Lonchura striata: one gene and its partner. The protein of the gene in region 1 purifies or fractionates together with the protein of each later gene. This does not show direct contact. Links are inferred from orthologs where the notes say so. Each region holds a gene or a part of one and is shown on either strand. Other genes may lie near its edges. The genes, in order: VAMP3 and SNAP23.

Region 1 (11,991 bases):
TTACTTGTCCTTTCAAATTTTTGCAGCATCACATGAGCACTCGAGCCTAACAGGCTTAGCTAAATCACTTTTTTTTTGCTGTAATCTACTCCTTTTGCGGGGGACTTCCCCTTGCAGGAGCAGAGTGGAGACATGTGGAGGATGCAAAGGGATCTCACTGCAGAGGAACTCCCTGTTAGTGGAGGCAGAGCCAGCCCCAGGCACAGCTGGGCACCTTTGGGACAGCACGGGAATGCCTTTGGATTTGGTCTGGCTCCTTTGCACTGCATACAGCCAGCTTCTCAGCCTGAGCAGAAGGTTTCCTGCTGCCCCAGCTCCAGTGCAGAGCTCCTTTTCACTTGATGGGATTAAATTATTCCCTTCTTTTCACCCTTTAATTTATTTTTTAACTTTTTCAGCTTTCAGTGATGGTTTAGTTCTTGTGTTGATGAGTTAGAGGAGGTAATGGATGGCATGCATTTGGGAAAGTTGAGAACTGGCCACATCTAGGAAGAGTGACTTCCACACTGTAGGTCCATCTCCCTTGGCACACAGCATCCTGCACTGCTGGGACAACACACAAACATTTTGCCAGCAGCATGATGAAACACAGGGCACAGCAGCTGGAGCACTTGTGAAACAAAGCACCTTCCTTCACACCCACACCTGTTCTTGTGCTTGTACATAAACACTTCCTTACGTGAGGTTCTCTGTAAACACCAGGCTTCCTTTCCAAGCTGGACAGAGAGATTTTCCCCCACTGTGCTGTCGCTGCCTCAGCACTGTGTGGAGAAAAGGGTCAGCTCTGAGCAGCCCCTTTGCCGTGAGCAGCTGCAGGTCAGGCAGGGAGCAGCAGTCCAGGGAGCCCCAAGGAGTCAGGCTGGCATCACAATGAAGCCCAGCTAGTTGGAAAAGCAGTAGCTGGACCCAAGTGTGTCTCTCCAAAGGTGTTTGGGATCTCCAGAGGCCCTTTCTGCGCTTCCAACTGTTTATGGTGTTGGGAAGGTGTTGCTTTCCTGTCGTGTCTCTGGGAGCCGCCTCTTCTGCACGGGAGGTTGGAGTGATGAATCCTTTTGATTATTCTGTCTTTGAGAGATTTGCAGTAGAAGTGTTACATAGCTCCTCTTTGTTTTTTCAGAGTGAAAGAATTGAAAAAGGCCAAGGAACTTGAAGATACGCAGCAGCATCCCGTAGCAATGTGACATTGCTTTTCAGACTGTTTTCATTTTCTGTTTTTAGCAGAGACATGCAACAACAACAAAAATACCCACTGCAGTTCTGGAAATACCAGCTGCAGGATTTTAACAGTAATGTTTTGGTCATTGCATTTGCACTTTCATGGACAACTTTTAATTTGTTCAGCAAGACATCTTGGAACTCAATCTTCTGTTGGATCGTGGGGAAAACAAGACACCAGGAGGAAATTGTGAGTTGCTTCATTCTCCGAGGAGGAAGGAAGAAGCGATTAATTATCCTTTTCATATAGGGCTGTATTAAACAACATGTGGAACTGTACAAATATTATACCAAAAATATTGTTCAGAAAAGGTGGGAATGCACAAGCAACACAAGAATGCTGTTCCTGCACCTGTCAGTCATCTCCAAGAAACTGAAGCTTTGAGAGTCTCAGTGGAGGGGCTTAGATCAGTACATCTTTATTGGGTCCATGCATCCTCATTTCCTTCGCACTCCTGTCCTTTGTGTTTTATTTAAACCTCTACAGCACACTTAATGCAACTTTTTAAATCTGCAGGTTTTTAATACATCCCGTGGGAACTTACAGGAGGGGTTTGGTGTACGAGAGACACGGGTATTGCATGAGGAATGGAGAGAGCAGCTTAAGCAAATTTTACACTTTTTTTTTTGTATTTTTACTAGAACCTGCAAACATATCAACTGTCATGTACTTCCTCTCATATTCAGCACTTTATTTTCTAGCCTTACCTTCATGTACTATTGTTTTAATTAAGTTCTCAAATAATTTGTAAAACATGTAGCTTTTTCTCTTATGTACTTGTCAAACCTCTTGTCATTTTGCAGAGTCACGTACATATGTTGCCTGGACATTTTATGCCACCTAAAGATCAGTGGTGCTGCATTCTGGCCAGTAAATTTCTTATTTTGGCTACTTCATCAAAATCTGGGCAGTTTCTGTATATATAGAAGGTAGAAATGGAAAATGAGAAAAAAATATTTGAAAGGGAATATATTGATTAATTACTAAATATTTTATTCACAAAGGGTCAATAACTTGGCAAGATAAAATTATTATTTGTATAGTTTTGTCTGAATGAACGAGAAGAGTGTGGATGTATTGTTTGTACATATTGTATATATTAAAGAGATATGTGCATGAACTCAAGAAAAAGAAATGAACAAAGCAAAGCATTAGTGGCTATGGTCTGTAAAATGAAACAAAAACTTTATTTCACTATAAGAAACTTTATTTTAAATGTTCTTTAGAAGAACATTTTTGCTAAAGCATGACTAAATGGCAAAAAAGAGCTACTGTATTTAGACTTAGGAAAAAAAAGGCAGAGCAACATTACTTTAAAAAAAAAAAAAAAGAAAAAAAGGATATGTTTACATTTGATTTTGGCTACCAGGAGTTTGGTTCAGTTGGGTTTAATTTATGTATTCCTTCCTTCTTTTTTTTTACCCCCGTCTTTTTTTTTTCCTTTTTTTTTTTTTGCCAATGGTGCCAAGTAATGTGAATGCTAATATTGCTTAAGAAAATTAAGTTACTTTTGCAAAGCAGATAATCATAAGAGTACAAAAACCGTATCTAGCTTAACACCATACACTCACTCCAATAAAGAACACTTAGAATGAACATAAAATGAAAAAAAATAAATAAATAGTACGAAAGTAGAAAATATGTTTCACATTTTCATATCTCCTGCTGGAAGTCAGAAAATGTAATAAAAATTGCACAAAAAATTTTAAAAAATTAAGTAAAACTTAAAAAAAAAAAAAGATGCAAACTGATCCTGTAGGGGTGTCATGGTATATTGCTATTTCCACATAGTGAGGAGCCAAAGAAATTAGATTTTTTTTAAATTGAGCTACTAATTTAAAACTGTCACAAATTCTCAACAATGGGAACCAGTTCTGATCTTCATTACACAGGAATGTAAGGGAAGAAACTCCTGAAGTCCGTGTCATTACTTGTGGGTCACGTACATGTGTCTGAGATCAGAAACTGCTCCTGTCTGTTTGTCTCACTCGTGGCAGTTTAAAATTTCTGAATGAACTTGTGTAAATTTGAGATTGTTAGTTTTGGAATAGTTGTTCTTGCTTGATCCCGGCCACCAACTGCAATGTTTAAACGCAAGGCTTGTTGTGAAGCCAAAAAATATTCACACATAGGAAGCTTTGAAACTGGTGTCTTTAAAAGAAGAGTAAAAACAAAGATTGTGGCAAAAAAACTGGGGTCAGTGCTCTTGGTGCCTTTTCTATAATTGTACCTGTTTTTAATTACTTCTTTTCACTGCCAGCATTGAATTACAGTAGATGTGCTATAGCTCATTATCAGAATTCTCTTGTACATTTCTGAACTGCTGCTTTATGACCTGATTCAATTTTAAAAAAAGGGAAAAAAGCAAAACAAATGGCCTGGCGCTCACACTGTGCCTGTGGGCAGCCTCGTGGCCTCAATTTACTGTCTGCAATTGGAACATTAACCATTAAATTTTCTTCTCACACCAAAACAGAACAGGAGACGCTGGAGAATCTCCTTTGGAATGAATTGGAAATGCTCTGTATTAGTACTGGAAGAACTCTTGACATTTTGAAACTGAAATACTGCACCCATTAACCAATACGTGACAATATAGAATTGATCTGTTCCAAACAAGAGTAGTGACCTCAGTGGAAATGTTTTAACTCCTCGTCTTTACAGAAAACGATTCAGTAATATACAGAGCTATTTCAAATTACTCTTCCAGATCCATGGGCCTGGTGGTGTATCTACTAATCTAGATCCTGCTTCAGCCAAACGTTTAAGCCTGTGCTGGCTGTGAAGCATGCAGGCAGTTCTGCAGCACAGCTCCAGGACTCCTGGCGTGCTTGGAGCCAGTTCAGCTCCCAAGTGCTTTGTTGTGTCGGGCCGTAACCCTTCAGTGTGTCACTGGGGAGGGAGCAGCTCTCCCCCGCAGTGAAGTGATTCTTCGAACCCTCTTCTTGGTTGTGGAACTTAACATTTTCACCTAAGATAAGTAAGTGCAGCTTTCTAGGAAAATTCAAATTCCCAAGTGCCAGGAGCCAGATTTTCTGTCTTCTGATAATAGAATCGCTCCTTTGTGAAACACATTCGACAGCAGTAATACTGTGTGAAAGAAATACAGAATATAACATGAACCCCCTCTCTGGTTGCACGCTTATGGCAGTTCCACACAATAGCTGGTGCCCAATGGGGGGTCCCCAAGACTTGCATGTAAAACTAGTATAGATGTCTTCTCTTTTGTAAGTTTTATTTTTGTAACTGTGCATGTAAAGCATCACTGAATCAATGGATCTGTTGAAGAACTCAGCTGCTGGAACCATGCAAAATGTTTTGAATTGCCCTTAAAATATGGAAAATGTTTTCTGAATGCTTTATATTCTTTCTGCTGTAAATTAAAAAAGAAAATTTCCCCATACAAAGTGTGTGCCTTCTTCTGAACACGTCTCTTCTTCTGAACACCTCTTCCATCCTTCTTTGAGAACAAAGTAGTCCTTTAGTCACTCTTAAGGAACCACACACAAAAAAAAGTTTCTGCTCTACACGACCTGCTTGTAAGAATATTGCATCTGATTTCTTACAGGTTATGATGTAACAGTCCACAGCCTGCCCATGAGCAGGTGCAGCCCCCAGAACTTTGTTTGCAGTTCCTCTGCAGTGGGCAGTCACTTCCAAGGTTTTTTGTGAGAAACCATATAGAGCTGGTAGCAAAATAAATCCTACAGTGTACACAAAGCAGAGTGAAACAGCAGAATTCAAGAGGGCTGCTGATGCAGAAACCTGAGAGGTCACATTTAATGATACAATTAACTGAGACACAATAACTGTTGCGCTAATAAGTATGTTGCTCCGCTCACATGAACTGGTCCTCGGGAACAAAACTTGTACCAGACTAATGGCAAGCCCAGCAGGCAAAACCTGAAAGCAGGTTTAATAAATTAATTATCTGGTCTGTCAGAGACTGTGTTAGTACCATCATGAGTAAGCTTTTCCAAAACCCAGCTCCACAACTGAAGATTTCAATAAGAGTTTCTTCTTGACTGCAGAGAAAGTTTGATTACGTTTCTCTTTTAGAATAAATCAGCATTTAACTCTCCAAATCGCTCCCATTTTTCCATCTTACATAGCTGTTAGTTGCTGGGTTCTTTCCTATCGTGGCGGGTTGACCCAGTCCTGAAAGAAGGCGCCTCCTCCTTCATCCCCAGGGGCATCGCGGGAGAGAACTGAAGACCAAACATGAGGGAAAAAGAAATGCCCGGGATGAGATAAAGTTTGATAAGGAGGGGAAAAATAAAAGATAACTCAGAATACGTGGTGCAAAGGCAGCCAGCGCCTCCCTCCCACCGGTGCCCTGCGGAGTTCGGTGTTCGCTGGCGGAGCAGCCCCGGGGCTCCTGCGGGAGCGCTGCCGGCAGCACCGACCCCCGGCGTGTGACCGTGACCGGCCCTGCTCGGGGCACCGACAGCTCCGTGCGGCTGCCGGGAGCGGCGGCTCCAGCCCCGCCGGGACCGGGCGGCGAGCGCGGGGCGGCCCTGCAGCCAGGGCGGGGGACAAGGACAAAGATAAGGACATGGACAAAGACAAACACACCCCCGGCTCCCCTCGTGCGCTGCACGGAGCGCTCGGACACGAGTGACAACGGCACGGAACGCTCTTGGCTGTGTCTGTCTGTCCGTGCGTCCCTCCCCGCGTGTCCGTGCCCCTGTCAGTGTGTGCGTCTGTGTGCCCATGTCTGTCTGTCCGTGTGTCTGTGTCTGTCCGTGTGTCCGTGCCCGGCCGCTCTCCCCGTTCCGTTGTTGCCGTTGCCGTTCCCGTGCCCGCCCGGGGCGGGCGGTGCCGGCCCAGCGCCCGGCAGCGGCCGCAGCCCCGCCCCTGCAGCCCGCGGGGGCAGGGCCATGGCCCGGCCCCGGTCCGACTCCGCCCCGCGCCCCGCTCCGCTCTCGCCCATCGCCCCCGCCCCGGTCCCGCCCCGGCCCCGGTCCATCGCCGCCCCGGTCCCGGCCGTCGCACATCGCCCCCGTCCCGGTCCTGTCCCGGTCCCGGCCGTCGCACATCGCCCCCGTTCCTATCCCGCCCGGGCCCGAGCCCGTCGCGCCCGCCCCGAGCCCGGCCCGGGTCCCGCCCATCGCCCCGAGCCCGCCCCGTGACTCGTCAGCGCGGGCGCCGCGCGCAGCTCCCGCTGGACCCGCCCGGGCGCTGCCGCCGCCCCGTCCTCGTCCCACCGCCAGGATGTGAGTGCGGGGCGAGCGGGGGACGCGGGCAGCGGGGCGATCCGGGGAGCGGGGGACGCGGGCAGCGGGGCGGGCGCAGCGGCGGCGGGAGCAGGGCCCAGCCCGGTCCGGCCCGCGGGCGGGGTGCCGGGAGGGGTGCGCGGCGGGGCCGGCGGCGGAGGCGAGGCCCGGCCCGGCCGAGCCCGGGGCCGCCCGCCGGAGCCGCTGCTCGGGCCGGGAGCGGGGCACCGGCCGGGCTGCCCCGCCAGCCCCGGGCGCGGCTCGGAGCGGGGCCCGCCCTGCCCGGCACCGGGGCGTTGCTCTGTTTGCAGCCTCGCAGGAAGCGCTGTCATTTCCGAGGCTGTTCACCTGGCACTGAAGCGGCACCAAAGGGTGGTGGCAGCGCCAAAACAGTGACACTGTGCCGGCACCGAGCCTTGCCCCGGCTCCAGCGCCAAAACAGTGACACTGTGCCGGCACCGAGCCTTGCTCCGGCTCCGGTGCCAAAACAGTGACACTGTGCCGGCTCCGAGCCTTGCCCCGGCTCCGGTGCCAAAACAGTGACCCTGTGCCGGCTCCGAGCCTTGCCCCGGCTCCGGTGCCAAAACAGTGACACTGTGCCGGCTCCGAGCCTTGCCCCGGCTCCCGCGCTGTGCCTGCACTCGTTACGTGCAGTTAGAGGCCAATGTCTAAATGTGTATACACAGGAAACAGACTTGGCTGCTTGGAGTGCCAGGGTGCACTAAACAAGCTTTCACATCTGATGTGAAAGAGCTAAGAACATGGAAAAGGAAATTGAGTGCTGATAGTTCTAGAGATGTGCATTAAAACCTGGCCAGGTGGTGAAAAGGTAATGAAGAGTATGTACAGAAGCTCTTGCATCCGTTATAAAGATGCAGAGTGTTGTAGCTGGTAAAAAGAACTCTGTTACGAATTTAAAGCTGGCCAAAAGTAAATTTTTGTGTTTTCCAAATACTTTTTCCTTCTGGTGCATTCTCTTGTTCCATATCAACCATTTCAAAAGAATACAGAAGTGTCACTGGAAAATCACATAGCTATAATAAGTATTAAGTTTTTGTATTTTATTTTTTGTAAACTACTATTGCTTGAAACTTAGTACCTGTGTTCATATGGGAAAGAAAGAACACCCTGAGTCCAAATTGCTCACTGAGGCCTATGGAGCATTGCTGGAGCTGACCCCTGCCTCATTGCAATGTGTGGTGTTAGCAAGCCACTGCTGCCTCTTGGGACAGCATGCAATTTGTTCACAAGATGTTTGGGACACTGCATGAGTTGTGCTCACTGACAGCTGTTAAAACACCATTTCTGCAGTAAGAAAGTGCCCTGTATTTATTACATGGATACCAGTGTCCCATTTTCAGGACTGTCAGATGTCTAATGGTGCCTTTCTTTACCACAGGTCGGCCAATGTCCCTGGAAGCTCAAATATGGCTGCTGGCAGCAATCGCCGGCTTCAGCAAACCCAGCACCAAGTAGACGAGGTAAAAGTCTGGTCTGCTAGTAGTGTCAGCCTCTTCCTGCAGGAAACCTGTGCAGTTAGAAGGGATATTTTTTTCCAGAGCAGTTTTCCCTTCATTATATGAAGGGGAAGCAAACAGAAGTTCCCAGTGTCCAAACATCAGCTGCAGTCTTGGTGCAAGATTTGGCATAAGTAATGACAAAAACCTTTGTTTATAGCCATGAGAGCTGGCTACCAAATGTGATTCTTGTGGAGTCCAAAAGCCAGGCTGGCAAGTATTTCTTGACATGGTTTACTATCATGTTTATATTCCTCAACTCCTTCTGAAGCAAGTCAGGAATTGTTTCCCAGGTCTGAGGGCATGCCAGCACTACTGACTTTTTAAAACAGGCATTCAGGGCTTTTAGCCATAAGTGGATTTCATAGTTTTCTTGAAGTTTATGGCTGAATATACTAAAAGGCAATAGCTCCTGCTTCTGAGAAAGCACGGAGTACCTCGTGCAGCTGCTTGCTGTCTGTGATTATGTTGCACACCACTTACTGTAAGTGTTGAACTGCTGTAGGTTGTTGACATCATGAGAGTGAACGTGGACAAGGTTTTGGAGCGGGATCAGAAGCTGTCAGAGCTGGATGACCGTGCTGATGCCCTGCAAGCAGGGGCTTCCCAGTTCGAGACCAGCGCTGCCAAGCTGAAGAGGAAGTATTGGTGGAAGAACTGCAAGGTAACCTCGGCTTGTGTGCTCACTCTGCGCCTGTAACGCTGTCACATCTGTGTTTCAAAAGGCAGGAAATGTTTAGCCAATGTTTTTTAAGTCACAGCATCTAGTTTTTAAAGCATGGCATTACTTTTTAAAGTAACAAGCAGCTGTGTTACCGGCCGTGCTGCCCTAGGCAGGATCTTGTCTGATAATGGCCAGAGGGAAGCATGTCAGTAATCTGAGGCTTTGAGAAACAAGAAGAAAAAGCTAAAAATGCATAGCTTGAATTAATGTGTGGGAAGTATTAGAAAGTGGAAGAAGCTCACTCAGACTCCTGTACTTGTAGCTGTTGCCAAAGGTTGGATTCATCTTTGGTGAGTAACAGAACAGCTTGTGCATTCACTTGGGACAGGCTTTATGTGGAGAAAGTCATATTGCTCTTTTTGCCTGTGTGCATGGCCTGCCACCTCTGAGTGCTAGTAGTGGATTAAGCTTGCTGACTGAAGAACCTTTGCTTGCTACATTAGATCTGACAACCAGTGCTAAAAGTCCCTTGCAGGGGCTGTTTTCCTGTACCCTGAGGGGCTTTTGGTGCTGTTGCATGCTGTGTAGTAAGTGTTGTATGTCTTTTTTTCACAGATGTGGGCGATATTGATAGGTGTTGTTGTCATTATCATCGTCATCATTATTAGTAAGTTTGACCAAAATGGGGGTTTCTCCTAGATTTGGAATGGATGGTGTTAATTTGTTGACTGGTACAGTTTAAGCAAAGGCAGGATACTCAGCTGGAGTATATCCAACGTGAATCTGAAATAGCAGTGATGGATTTAACAACAATTGCATGCAGTGCGTGGCAGACTGTGATAACGTGGGAGCTCCAGTACTGGAATCTCAACCACAAGTGAGGGTGACAAAGGTGAAAGTGAAAATAGCAAGGACTTGGAAACCAGGAACAGACTTGGGTTTATTTTACAGCTGCCTGCTGCAGAAGTGTAACATGAGTTTCCACACACTGTCCTTGTCTGAGAACTGTTATCATCTGCCTTGACTTCCTGCTTTCTTGTGGCAGTTATGAGTGCGCTGCCGTAACAGGGAGGTTTGATCAGAGGTTTGGCTGCTGAGTGAAATGAGGTTAAAATTGGGTTAGGATAGAGAGCCAGGTGTGGAATGGTTCAGTCTTTGAGTCCTCATGGAATTGCTGAGGGTTTAAAGGGGAGACAAAGTTTTTAAGTTTGTGCTGTAACAGTAACAAGCACAGCAGTAACCATTGACAGCAGATACATAGTCCCATGTGCGAACACAAGGGAAAAATACAACTGAGAAAACCAACATGGGCAAATTCTTAGATTTAAGGGTTAATCAACTGAGAAAACCAACATGGGCAAATTCTTAGATTTAAGGGTTAATCTCTATTATCTTAAATTCTTAAAATGCAGGATTGTTATGATGAGGGGATGAAGGACATTGCCCAACTTTTCTTTTTTTCTTTTTGTAGTCTGGAGTGCATATTCATGAATTACAAGAAGAAGCTCCATTCAACCGAAGGTGCCTTTGAGAATCTCCTTCAACCTCTCCACTTCAAGCCTGCTGCCTCCTCAGCCCGTTTACTGCTATTTAAAGCGAAACTCTTTTGATGATCGCGACGTTTACTAACCTCACTGGCGGCCTTAAGACACTCCCGTCATTAATCACTAACCAGCAGCTCCGGCCCGCGCCTCGCCTCAGCGGCCGGGCCGGGCCCCGCCCCCTTGGCCACGCCCCGGGGCGGGGCCGGCGCCGCACGTGGCGGCGGGGCATGCGCGCGCACGGGGGCCGCGTGCGGCGCCGCGTGAGGGGCGGGGCTCCGCCCCCGCCCGCGCGGGCCCCGCCCCCCGCGCGCGGGCTCCTCCAATAAAAAGCGGCTCCGACCCCGCCTCCGCCTCCTGCTGTGTCCGCGGGGCGCGGCGCACGCGGCGCGGGTGTGTGGGAGCGGCGCCGCCGCGTGCGCCGCCGTTACGTAACGGCGCGCGGCGGGGGCGCGGCCCCTCAGGGCGCTCCCGGCCCGCCGCGGGGGCTGCCCGGGGTCGGCGGGAGGGAGAGGCGCGGCCTCGCAGGGGCGGGAGGGCCGAGCGGAGGCCGCCGCGCCGGACGGCTGCGAGCTGCGGGAGGGGGGGAGCGGCGCGGGAGCGCAGAACCGGCCCCGGTGACCGCGCGGCTGTGGAAGCGCGGAGCGGGGCGGGGGCAGCGCTCCTCCCACCGTCCCGTGAGGCGGCGCGTGCTCTCCCCGCAGCGCAGGCCGAGGGTCCGGCCGTGCCGAGCGGCCGCGGCAGCCGATGCCCCCCGCGCTGTGGCGCTCAGCGGACCCGCGATGGACGCGAGCGAGCGGCGAGGCGGCAGCGCGGAGCGAGGCGCGGCCGCGGCCGCCTGGGCCGGCGGCGGGCGGGAGGCGGCGGCGCCCGGGGGGGCTGCGGGCGCTCGGTGCGCGGCGTGCGCGGGGAGCGGGACCGAGCTGCACCGCCCCGAGTCCGGCGGCGGCCCGGCCGCCGAAAAAGCCAACAGGTACCGGGGCGGAGCGCGGGGATGCGCTCGGTGGGAGCGGGGAGCGGGGCGCTGCTCGGGCCGTGCCGCCCGGGGCGGCGGGGGTCACGGGCCGCGGCGGGTGCGCCGAGCGTGGAGCTGCTCCCGTAAGCTGTGCCTCCTTTGGGATCGGCTGAGCCGCGCACGTCAGCGACCCTCGGGTAGCTTGGATGTGTACTTCAGCTAAAGGCTGGTTCGCTGTGCCAAAACAGAGATTGCTGAAATGGCATTTTTTTGTGAGAGTTCGGAAATTCAGTAATTTGCTTTTTTAATCTAAAAAAAGAGTTAAAGAGCTATGATGTATGCAGCGTTGGACGGGCATGTGAAGTTACCACGCAATACTTACACTTATGTAATGATTTCTATAGTAAGAGTACTATACTAATGACGCTGTCGCCTGGAAAGGTTTTACTAAAAAATGGGGTTCATATGTCATCTGTAGGATTAGAATCTGTGATTTGAGGATATTGGCTGTTTATTCTTTAGTCCGTGAAATAAGCAAATGTAAGGAGAGGGAGATTTTATCTGTTAAGAGTTCTGGAGCTGTTGAAGTCAACAGCTAAAAAGTATGATGAAGACTGAAGTCATGAGGCCTGTAATCTTTGCATCAGGTGTATTTTGAGGACCTCACAGTCTCCTGAGATGCTTATAACCAGGTACAGCCTTCAAGGCTAGAAAACCTTAGATCGATGAAGAATCATCATTTATTAATTATTTTCATACCTGTGTTATTTAGAAAATCTAGACTAAACATCATCTTATTTTTAGTTGCGATGCATCTTAGCAAGCTGGGTGGTTTCAATGTGACTTTGCCATCCATGGTACTGGAGCTGGGAAGGAGGAACA
Region 2 (12,350 bases), on another chromosome or scaffold:
TACACCTGTTTTGGCTAATTAAAACATATAGTAACTATACACGATTACAGGAAGAGTTTTCGGCAAACTGCCCAATCAGTTCGGCATTGCTTATGACAGAGTACTAAAAATACTAATAGAATTCAAATGCTATTGGATGTCACTATGAAAAGGGAAACTACAGAGAGAAGCCCTCAGTGGCTTGGACTCAGAAATAAAGAGATTCAGTAGATGTTACAGGGACTGGGAGAACACAGACACACATTCTATTTCCAGATCACCTCTTGACTTACTGGCTTACATAGATATAAAGCACTTCCCATCATCCTTAGCTTTCTCCCAAATGCTGCTAAACCTATGAACACTTGTGGATCACTTTAATTAAGTACTTCAATTTTACTGTAAAAGCACTTCTATGAAGTATTTTGAATAACATGATAAATCAAAGGTATTTCCTCAGACACTATGCAAAATCAGCAAGAATCAGACACCTTTTGAGCCATGTAGTCACTACTATTCATCTCATCATATACTGGTCTGCTCAATCTCAAAACTTCCATTCATGAAGAAACTTCAGAAACAGAGCTTTTGAGATAAATGCAGGCACATTTGAATTCTTAAAAAAACTCCACATACTTTAACCTTAAACAACCTTCAAGCTTTTACCAGCTTTAACATCTTGTGCTTTTGAAATCATCAACTTGCTGTATAACATAGAAAATTACTTTTTATGGGACTTGAGTAGGAAAGATGAGCTAGTCTAAAAAATGAGCAAACTGAAAACAAAGATAAGGTTTTGCCAAAAAGACCCCACCATCATATAAAAAGAACACGTTAAGAGCAGAATGTAAAGCCTTTGCAACAAATTAAATATTACAACAACTTTCTATTTTGAGAGAATGTAACATCAATGGGTCATTTTTTATTTGTTTGTTTTAAAGGGAAGGGATGCATTTTACAACTAGGGGATGTAAACACAACTTGCCCATAGTCTGCACCTGTACAGAGCTTAGGAACACCACAGAGCTTGAATTAAATTAAGAAAGACTGCTACAGAGATTTTGGAGAACCCTTCCCACAAATAAAAATAGTTTACAAAAATTAGACATTAGACTACTTCCTGCTACAACATCCATTTGTCCATAGTTATTCAACCTTAGCGGATAACATACATTAAAAATGTACGTCAAGATTAAATCTGCTACAGATGAGTGGCTGAACATTCCGACTATATAAAGCCACGAGTGCCATGGAGTGGGGTATGCAGCCTGGCATTCCAGCTGCCTAGAAATCCTCAGAAGGCTTCAAAGAGATCAGCAGCACTGGCCTGTCCAAAAGCCTGCCTAAATGCTGCATGCCCCTACAGAGAACAGTGGAAACTCAACACTTGAGAAGAACAGGAGGCTACAAAATCACTGTGCAGAATTTTCTGCAGCAACATGCTCAGCTCCTTGCAGAGATGTCACTCCTAGTGCCTCAGTGACTTCTCTCCTGCAGCAACCAATTGCACGCACATCAGCTGAACTGTAGAATAGTAACAGTAATAGTACAGAGCCCTATGTTCCAATTTCATCACCTCCTGCAGAATTTACATGGAATAAAGCACCATCATTCAGAGATTATCTTCCCTTCCAAGATTTGTTGCCCTTCAAGCATCTGAATTTACTACACATCCCCGCCAGACCATAACGTCTACTAATTACCTTAACCCTCCTTCTGAGCACATGTGTGAGGCACTAACTTTCCTTCTGAGATGTTGATCTGTGCAACCTAAACCCAGGCAAAAAACGAAAACTTAAGGATTTACTAAAGTTAAGTCATGACTAACAACATGATTCTCCCCCAGCACACTGTCAGGCACTGTACAAACTACTTTGTAGTTGGTTTCTTATTTTTACAGGGCAAAGGAGAAAACTGTATCACACTCCAGAAGTTAAAATACTTGTACCAGAGTACAAAGCTTTAAAGGTAAATTTCTCCCTGCTTTCCAAGATTTAATTTTATCCATGTGACAATCTAAGGGTAGTCTAGACCCCTGAGCACTGAAGCAGCACCACTACACAGCAAATGTTTAATTGGGCAGACAAGTGCTCAACTGTTTTGACATCAAGCCAGGAAAAAAAGAGTTATTTCACAGATCAAAGTTCTTTAAGCTCCTGTTAAAAGCAATAACATTTACTTCACTACCTGGCTTAGAAAACATCTAGCAGAAAATGAGTGCTATCTCATAAGTATGGCTGGGATTTTTACAACATACAGGGAAAGTCTACTGGAGATAAGGGCACCACAGAGAAATATCTTAAACAGACCAGCAGAGGCACAGAACACCTGGCAGGAACAGAGTTTTCACTGACTTCTATTTTTATTTCACGTAAGTCTCAGAACAGAGCACAGACCAGATATACACTTTAAGCCACAACCAAACTGCATCTTTCCAACTCCTATACATAAGGAATGCTAATAATTTCTTAATATACAAAGTAAGTTTTCCTTGCTGTAAATCAAGATGATAATTTCTCTCTAGTAAAACTAAATGCCTTCTATCTTTCTCATGAGAGCTTCTCACACACCAGAAGATTCAGGAATCTATTCTGTCCAAACTGGAATGAAGAACTGTACAGCATTATTGCTGTATGCTGTCACTTAGAACATGTAAAATCCACACACCTGGAAAGCTTCTGTCTTCTCCCATACTCCCTATTTGGTTTAAGGCATATGAAAGTTTTGTTTTCTCCAGATGTTCTCCTCAAACATCACATTTCCTGAGCTTATTAAAATAGCTATTCCCCTTTCCAAACTGCCCAAAGCACTTAAAAGGATTGTTCAAAAACAGATGTAGCACTTCAGCTAACATCCCTATGTGCACCCTTAGGAGAAGGGAGTTGTCTGTGTATCCCTACTACTACTACAGCCTCAAACACAATTCATAATGCCTGAGACAAACTCTTACTAAGAAGCAACATAGTGATCCACAAGATGTGGCAAAAAACAACCCAATTAAATTTTAGATTTAAACATTTAAATCTAATAATTTAAATACTACTGTGACTTACAAAAGAATTCTCATCAACTTATTCTGGTAACCTTGAGTCACTTTATAAAGGGTCTTCACTTTACAGACCTTGTAAGAATGACAGAAATACCCAACACTTAATTTTACACTTACTTCTGTAACATTAAGTTGTATAATTTTTCCCCTTTCCTAGGCTATTTAAGCTCATCATATCCTTCCTAGGTATTCATACAATGTCTCTTTCACTAATAAGTTAAAAACAAGGATCAAAAGCCACATCAAAACAGATTACTCTATGTATCCTATCTATTGCAGTTCCACAGTAACAGATACCTGGCCTTGTCAAAATAACTCAGACTCCCCACAAAAGATCTGTATAGACACAAGAGAACAAGCAGGGAGAGCATTCAGTAAGTAATTTGGCTTCTTCTATTTATATTGTCATTACAGAGTATGAAGAATCACTGGAGGGTGATTTGAAACATTCAAACCAAGGTACTCAAGTCACTTTTCAGTATAAACAGCTTTCATGCCAAGAAAACTCAAGTTAAGGATTTCAAATACTAAGATAGTAGTCATTAATGACCAGGTAATAGAAATACAGGGCTCTGCCTAAATTAGTATATCTCTGTAATGTAGTTTATCTCAGGGCTGAACACCAGCAGCTCTACCACAATAAGATCAAAATGTAAAATATTCTGGGACTTGATGAAAGAAACTCAAAAACCTTACATTACAAATATAAAACATAGCTTTATAAAAACAAAGAAGTTACTTGTAAGGTATAGTATCCTTTTACTTTGCTAGACTCAACTTGAGCCAGATAACACCTCAAATCTTATGACACCATCTGGTGGCAGAGTTCACAGAGGAGGATTACCACATGCTAAAAAAAAACTTCAACATTTTAAATTTGATCCTGAACAAATTTACATTTTATTCTGGATATCTTATTAGTTTTTTCAAGATAAGATGGAAAGAAAATTGATAGATTTACCTAGATACTACAAGTTGTATCTCTGTATACAATTTAGGTATGCATTTAGAGGACTGCTGTTACTCTGTACTGGATTGACAGTTCTGCAGGAATTAAAATGTCTTTAGCTGACATCTCTTCACATATGTGATATTTTTGAACATAGGGAATAGAAGCTGCCTGAAGTCTGGTCACAGTGACCAAACAGACTTAGGTAACATGCGAACAAAATTTGGGTAAAACCAATGTCTTTCTCCAAACTGAAAATGCCAGAGTATAGCACCTATTTAGCTAACTTTACATACAAAAATCAGTCATTAGTGGAACACATCAAGTAGTGCAAGTGCAGCTGCCTTTTACTGCCAGTTCAGCTGAAATCGAGCAAGGACTTTAAAAAAAAACAAAACACAATTCAGTTGTTTTTAACAGGAGCTACTTCAGGATAGAAATCTATTTTCCAAGGTAAAAAGTTACAGAGACACATTGCATTGGCCCTTAGAACTTGCAGTAGTAATCCCAAATACTGCAATGCTAATGGGAATAAGCTTCTAAACTTCAGCAAAGCTATTAATAAATTTTTGGAAGGCTTAAGTATTTGGGGTTTTTTTTAGGCCAGGATTTGTCAGTTCAGCAAAACAGCCAATTTGTTAAATGCAGTAATTAAGGTTTAACTGAAAGAAGTAGCAAATAACTGAAGAACAGCAATAAGCAACAGAGATGTAGGACATGTAAGCCTGGAAATTCATGTTGAAAACAAAGTCCATAAATTCTCAATTCTATTCTCTCTTAGGACACACCACCTCAGAACCTATCTGTTCTTTAAAGTTCATCAGGTGTAGAAGGGAAGGTGAGAAAGAAGGTTTTTACCTGCATGAGAAGATTATTACCAAACCTCCATCTATACTGAAGCATGAACTTTAACCATCAATGAAGTATACTGAAGAATGAACTTCAATAATTTATGTCACTTGTATCCAATATTTCATAAACTTTTACAAACTGACATCCATATGCACACCCAAGCAGTTCTTTATGTACGTTTGGATTTGAACCACCCTGTGTGCAATGATGAAGGATTACTTTTAAACACCCCATATTTCATCATACTATTATGACTTGTTTCACGCTGTCAGTCCCATTCCTTTAAAGTTACCAGATATTTATCACTAAACTGATACATGATTTCACTACAACACATTTTTAGATATTTGCTTATGAGGAAGGCAGCTAAACAACCTATATTCAGTCACACTTCATCCCCGGAAACACTTCTGGCAAGTATGAAGAGGCATTAGGGCAGCTACACACCTGGCACAGAGACGCCTCCGCCCTAACGCCCCTGTTCTACAGCAGGGCATCAAAGTCCAGGATCACAACAGCAGTAGGGGATGCTCACGAGGCAAAGCACAGCGCATGCCCGCCCCAAGGCGAGATGCCGCTGCCGCAGCCCCTCTCGGCCGGGCTCGCCCTGCCGCCCTCCACAGGCCGCCCACTCCGCCGGAGCCGCAGCAACCCCCATCGCCCCCGGCCACCACCGCTCTCCCCAAGCCCTCTGCCCCGCACAGCCCCGGTACTCACGGATCCCACCCCTCTGCAGGGCAGCAGCCCGGCAGCCCATTCCCCCGTGGGGCCGAGGAGGCCCGGCCACCGCCGCCCGGGAGCGGTGCCGGCACGGCGCGCACCGGGCCCGGCCCGCAGCACCGCGCGGTTCGGCGGGGCACGGCGCGGCCACCAATGGGCCGGCGGGAAGGGGCCGCGCTGCACGCTGGGCGGCACGCCTGCGTGCCCGCGGGGCCTGCCGGGAAATGCAGTCCCGACCGCCGTGGACAGCCGACAGGCGAACCAACTTAATGGCGGGGGCACCAGCACCGGCCGGCTGGGGGCATTCACCAGCAGATAATGGTAATAGAGGTTATTGTTGTTGTGTGTAAATACAGCGCTTTAAACACGCTTAGTGCTACGTGTTACCGCTCTACAAATCAGACGCTGCAGACGGCGGGTATCTCAGCAGCGAGACGCTGTGGACATCACGCTGGGCAGGGCGGCTGCCCCTGGGAAATGTGCTCCAGGGACAGTTCTTAAGGCAGGAGGGGAAGGGCGCGGGCTGTGCAGTGTGCGGTAAGCCTTACTCCACTGGGACCTTTCACGAGGCCAAACTCCCCCCAGATGCTGAGAGAGACAAGGGAAACCAAGACCGAGTTCTGAGAGCTCAGCAGCAGTTTCACTGGAAGAGGGGACTTTAGGAGCCACGTAAGCTGATGCTGTGAAAACTACCGGCTGCGTTTACAGTGCTTACAGTCCTACAGCAGGTGCGGGATGTGACACCAACCTCTGAGAAGAACTTATCCACACCTGAGAAGGAATATACCTCAGGAAAGGCTGCGCGGTTCAGCTGAAAAGGATGAGGTCGGTGATTGCGAACAGCAGCTTTCCCTTTCTGCCCTCCTCTCCACTGGTGACAGAAGGGGACTGACACTCATCGTCCTAGTAGAGAATAGTAACTGGAGAAAAACCCCACCGATACAAATAAGGCCGCTTCTTGACTGCACTGTTTGCTGCCGCAGCTGCGGTCGGCACGGGCGGACCGCGGGCACTGCCCAGCCGGCACTGACACCCGAGGGGCAGGGCAGCAGGCAGGGCAGCCCCGCGCGCCGCCATGCCGGGTGGGCAGGCCGCCGTTCCCGCCCGCCGCCGTGTGAGGGCGCTGCGGGCGGCGCGTTCCTCCGCCGCACTGGGAGCGGCGGTGAGCGGGGCGGGGCGGGGCGGGCGCCGCTTCCGGGGGCGGCGGGGACGGGCGGGACATGCGAGCTTAAGGGGGCGGCCCGGCCCGGCGCGAGGGAGCGGCGGTGGGTGTGTGACGGGTTGGGCTGTGGCAGCTTGCGGCGCCCCAGGTAAGGTGTCAGGCTGTCCGTTCCGGTCCCGTCCTCCTCCGCGCCGCCTGGCGCCCTGCGGCTGCCGGGGGCCGCTGTGGGGCGAGGCGGGCCTGGCCCGGTGCGGTTGCCGTCCTATGTCGGCTGTGCTGGGTAATGGGGCGGCCGGGATCCGGGCCCGGGCCCTCCGAGCCCCCGCCTCAGCTGTGTGCGGGGAGGCCTCGTGGGCTCGCCCATACCGGGGGCGGCAGTGCCGTGTCCAGGTGGTTTTTGATTGCTTGGCGAGAGCCCGTGAATTGCGCTGTTAGTAGCGTCCAGGAGAAAACCCACCTCTTGTTGCTTCTTATTAAGCTTATGTGTTGTGTCTGCTGCCTTTAGACTAATCTGTAAAATGCTGTAGTGTCAATGTAGTAAACAATAAGAATCGAAGTGCTTCTTGTGCTTCTTTCACTTGTACGTCTCAATGCCCTTGGTCCTTCTGGGAAGCTCCTAATGAGTCAGCTTTATTTTTCGCTTTTTTTCCCTTTTTTCTCTTTCTGTTTCAGTTAATGTGAAGTCAGCACATGACTTGACACTCTAAGTAAACCTAAAGGAACTTCGGAAATTTCTTTATGCAACTTCTCTATTTGCCTAACTTTTCTTTTTTGTTCTCTTAGAAAGGGTACTGGATGCTCAGTGTTTAGAGCTAAGGGTGCTGTTTTACTTCCTCTTCATAAACAAACATGATTCTGTGCTGTAGAGGGAACAGCTGTTTAGGGACAAAGGAAAAGCCACTTCTGTTATCAATTGCTTGCTTGATTGATCTAATTGAGCACTTAATTGCTTACTGGCAGTCTAGTAGCTAGTCTATGTGCCTGCCCTCCTCTGCTCTGCAGTTTTTGAAGTAGGTTATTATATAGTAGTTTGTGTCTTTAGGAGAAATGGAATCTATAGTAGTTTGTGTCTTTAGGAGAAATGGAATCTCTTGCTGTCATTAAATGGATCCAAGTTTGACTGTGAATTTCTATTGGCCAGATTCTGATCTGGAGGAGGTTTCATGAGGCTTTTTCAGGGGCAAAAATGAGTTGTTGATGTGAGTGTAGAACTGAACTGCACAGAGGAGGTGGCATTGGTAGCGCCTATTCTTTGTGCTATCGCCTTTGTGCAGTGTGTTCAGGAAGCTGATAAGGGAAAGCAGGAAGCACGCCGAGTAGTGTCTTGGTCGTGGGCCCTGGCCTCTTCCTCCAGGGCCACAGATGCTTTATTCATTTTTCTTGTAGCCATAATCATCTGGAGGAGTACATTCTGGTGCCGATACCTTGTGCCTGCATTAGCTGGGCTGAATTTCAGCTAACTAGCAAGTGGGATGGTTGTTTGTGTTAAGGAAGGGTTTTAAAAAACTAAGTTTTCTGTAACGATCTAATTTTGATCTTTGTAAGCATGCACAGGAAATTAATACTTGACATTTACATATCTAAGAATATTGTTTCATTATTTTTTCAATCTTTTGGGGAAGGCAACAGCTCCCTTTACAAGAGAAGGAACTGAGAGCATCCACAATCACCTGAGGCTGCACCAATTTACTGACAGCTAAAAATGCAGCTCATGAGATAGTGGCTTCCAGTCAGTTGCTGCAACAGCTGGGTTGTGCCACCAGCTAGTTCCTATCTTTGTGGTAAGAAGGCATAGACTGTATTTCTCAATCCTACTTGTAGATGCACTGGATAGGCTGTTTCCTTCTCCCCCAGTTTACAAGTTATCAGTGAAGGAGGAAGTTTGTGATATTGATTAAAAGCATAACTTCACAGGCAAAGGGATAGGTGCAAACAGAGGACCTTCAGATGGTAAGGAAGTAATTTATAGTCTGTAGCAAATGTAATTGATATAGCCATTTCTGAATTGCATTGAAAATTCTGAAAGGTATTCAGCCTGTCAGAGGTACAAAACTACTGCTTGTTAGCCAGAGATGCAGAACAAAAATCTTATTCAGGGTGGGTTTGTGAAAGTGCCAGCAATCAAAACAATATTGATCTGGTGCAAGTAGACCTGTCTGGCTTTAGGAAACTTGTCACTTTTGTTAGCCTTTCCCTGTCCAAATGTGGATAGTGTAATTGGAGTTGAACAAGCACTTTATCAGGCCTTGTGGCACCCTGCAGTTAACTTAAATTTATAAATATCAGTAAGGGTTTTGAGTACTTTGGACAGCACAGCCTTAATGTGCTGTGACTGTCATAAAGCAAGGAATTAAGTTTTCTTTTTTCTTAGAGAAAATAAGCATTAGAATTGCTTCTCAGCTAAATGCTGAAGAAGAGTATATTTAGGTCATGTAACTTGCCTACTAGAGCTTTCATTACCATGGAAGTGCCTTATATATATATAAATGTGCCTTTTTATATAAAAGTCCCAGAAGATTATTGGTATTGAAGAAAACTTGAAAATTCTGTGCAAAGTCAGTGTTGTAATGGCTTTTGAACTTTGTTTGCATTGGAAACTGAGTGTGTTGGTATAAATAGTTGGCAAGTAATTCTGAATGAAAATGAAAACACTTGCAAGAAAAACCATTAGTGGTGCAGTAGAGTATTTTAGGCCAGTGAGAGAGACCACAAAAAAAGGTTTCATGTTAATTTTTTACAGTGTGCTTTGGGAAGGTGGGTGGCAGAGATGATTATAATGTTGCTGGCTGCATACAGCAATACTTTAATCTCGAGGGCCTTTCCATTCAAATGTTTTATTACCCCCCAACTTTTTAATATGCCTATTGTCAGGAAACCAGCCAGCCACTGAACTGCTGTTGCATGAAGTGATACTTCAGTAGCCTTCTGATCACAAGCTGGTATTTAAACCTGGGGACATAGTCAGTCAGCTCACCATGGGTGTTCCTAACACTGAATTTGCTCCTCTCACTCTATGAAAGATCTGCCTTGGCAGATGTTAGCTCCCAGTTCAGTAGCTGGGGTTGGGACAGAACTCAGTGCTTGGGACTGATCCACTGCAAATGTGGCAGTGTGAGCAATGCTTTTCCCAAGCCAAAATTTGCACTGTAGGCTCACGGGATCACCCTTCTGCTAATAGAGACCTAGCCATAGCTCACATCAGTCTGTCACCTTCCAGCTTTTTCAAGTTGGACAAAGAACCCACTAAAATGCTTCAGCTGCTCTGTGAGTGTTGATTAACAAAATCAAGATCTCTAAGCCAGTGATGCTTTGAATGGATCATTATAAAATTACCCCAAAAGTGCTTGTTGCGTCCCTCGTTATTTTGCAATAACCTTTGCTTTGTCTTTTCAGTCCTCTCCAACCTAACAGCTTCACATAGGAGAGTAAATTGAAAGGCTTTCAGGGTTTTTGGAGCCATGACTAAATGCATAGTAAGTGGAAAAAAGGCTGTGCAGACATAAGTTTGTTTCCTCTTTTCCAGGAGATAGAAGTAACTTAAGCTTAATCCATCCTCAACTGGCTTGGGCAGCAATGTCGTAGTTATGTATTATAGTGATGAACTTGTGGGATAGCTTAGCCCAACATAAGTAATCTTGTGAAGAGATGTAAAGCTTTAGGTTGGAATTGGAGTTTCAAAGAACTCTTTCTATTTTGCACAATCTCCCAAATAAAGTATGGCATTAAAAATTTGTGTTTATTTCCTTGCTGCTCTGGTTTCTCAATGGCCTTCCTTTTTATAAGGCAGTGATAGTTAAAGTAACGAATGTGTTGTAATCTGTTTTCTAGCAGAAAAGTATAATGAGCCCAGTTACCTCAAGAAAGTATATTTTTGTAGCAAGTTTAATTTTGTATACTCTGCAGGTATCAGGCCTTCCTATGAAAGGGACAGAAGGGGAGTTGAACTGAGCAAATACTGCAGAAAACTGATAAAAGAAAGTAAACAAAGCTGACATCACAGCCTTCCTTAAAGGAGTACTGCTTTGTCTTAAGATGCATTAGATTCTTGTTTAAAGCTTGCCCCTCTAGAAAGAAAATTAAAAATAGCAGAATATTGTTATAATTATGAAATATCTTTGTAGGCTGCTGTCTTCTTTATTTTTTACTTTGGCTGTTTTGTGGCTAGGATTTCTTAAATGGTAGGAGAGGGAAGGCAAAGAAAATAGACATTGAGCATCAGTGTTAAAATAAATGCTTGCCTTAACAAATGTTATCTAACAAATGTTATCATAGCCATATCAAGTTTTTCTGTCTGTATATTTTGACTTATATTGAGTAATCTTAGTGCCTTATAAGTAATTTTGTCATATACCATTAACACTGAAGCTAGATACCTCAAAGGATCTACTTTGTAGGATCTTTATGATTCTTAGGCAGAAAGATGGGTGAACAAGTATCTTTTTGGTATGTATGTATACTGTGTTCTGTTGGAACAGCTGAGTTATTTCAATAAAAATGGCCTCATCTGGACTGTTAAAATTTCTTTTGAGGTATCTTTCATTAACGGTACCTGCTATGTTCAGCTATTCCAATTAGGCCTGCAGCTATTGTGTGTGTATTTACATCTTCGGAAACAGCCTATTTTGGAAATGTTTTGTTTGTTTTAAATTAGTGTTGTGTGCTTTTTTTTAATGTTTTTAAGCTGCTGTGTGGTGGGAAGTTTTTATTCCCTAGCAAATGTGTTTTCCTATTCTGCCTTATGGCACTAATTGCCTCTGCAGAGCTACTGTGTAGGTTGTGTCTGTGCTTATAAAAGCAGTGCTGCAAACTAGCAGGAATAAAACTATGGTTTTTTTGAGTCTAATGCATTTGGCCTGGATATTCAACTTAAAACAGATATTACAATCACTAATTTGAAGAGCATGCTTTCTTATGCCTGCCTTAATAAGAAAATCTTAATATGTCTTTCTTTACATACTCTTATGGCAATGTCTGAAAAGTGGAGGTGGGTAAACTTGCTGGGAAATCTAGAGAAAAAAAGAAAAAAATGTTCCGTCACTTTTCAGTGACATAAGACCTCAGGAAATTATCAGAAAAATTCAGCAAATAGCTGAACCCTTTATCTTTGAGGAAAGGTTGTCAGAATATTTCTCTTAACTAAGTGTTCTGAATGGTTTTACTCACACAGGTAATTTATCCCCACAATTATGAGCCATCACTTTAAATTATGGTTTCATCTCAAGAGGCAAAGCACTACAGGTGTCCAAATATGAGCATCAGAAGATAAGCACATGCATAACTCAGCTTTGAAGAATCCTGGAAGTAATCTTTTTTCCCTGCTGTGTTGGAAGGGTTTTTCCTCTGTATCTTGAAGCTGTATTTCTTTATTGGTGGGTCAGTTTATAAGTTTCAATACCAAATACTACTAATTTAGGGCAAAAGTGAGTGGAATGCTGTGCATTTCTATAGAACTTTTTGCTGGCTGACACTGGAGCTACTTGGGAAGATGTGAGCAAGCTAGGAGAACACAAAGCCTGTCTGTCAGCTGTTGGAACTGGTTTGCTGGTGACACAAAGCTGGGAGGAGTGGCTGGTACCCCGGAGGGCTGTGCAGCCCTTGAGAAGGCCCTCGACAGGCTGGAGAGATGGGCAGGGAAGAGC

Evidence for each region.
Region 2: the proteins of VAMP3 (region 1) and SNAP23 purify together in Homo sapiens (affinity purification with western blotting; 6 studies listed by BioGRID and IntAct, with this or other methods). This does not show direct contact. The link is inferred for Lonchura striata from reciprocal best matches to the Homo sapiens genes VAMP3 and SNAP23.

What each region holds. Positions count from the first base shown.
Region 1 is NC_134626.1:4,505,333-4,517,323, forward strand, and holds VAMP3 (vesicle-associated membrane protein 3), read left to right. Parts: upstream 1-6,326; 5' UTR 6,327-6,430; coding exon 6,431-6,432; intron 6,433-7,831; coding exon 7,832-7,913; intron 7,914-8,454; coding exon 8,455-8,613; intron 8,614-9,228; coding exon 9,229-9,280; intron 9,281-10,084; coding exon 10,085-10,104; 3' UTR 10,105-10,219; downstream 10,220-11,991. Other genes in the region: CAMTA1 (calmodulin-binding transcription activator 1), read left to right, coding at 1,118-1,181; PER3 (period circadian protein homolog 3), read left to right, coding at 10,937-11,127. UniProt on the Homo sapiens protein: SNARE involved in vesicular transport from the late endosomes to the trans-Golgi network.
Region 2 is NC_134608.1:36,268,228-36,280,577, reverse strand, and holds the start of SNAP23 (synaptosomal-associated protein 23), read left to right. Parts: upstream 1-6,235; 5' UTR 6,236-6,374; intron 6,375-6,751; exon of another isoform or gene 6,752-6,859; intron 6,860-12,350. UniProt on the Homo sapiens protein: Essential component of the high affinity receptor for the general membrane fusion machinery and an important regulator of transport vesicle docking and fusion.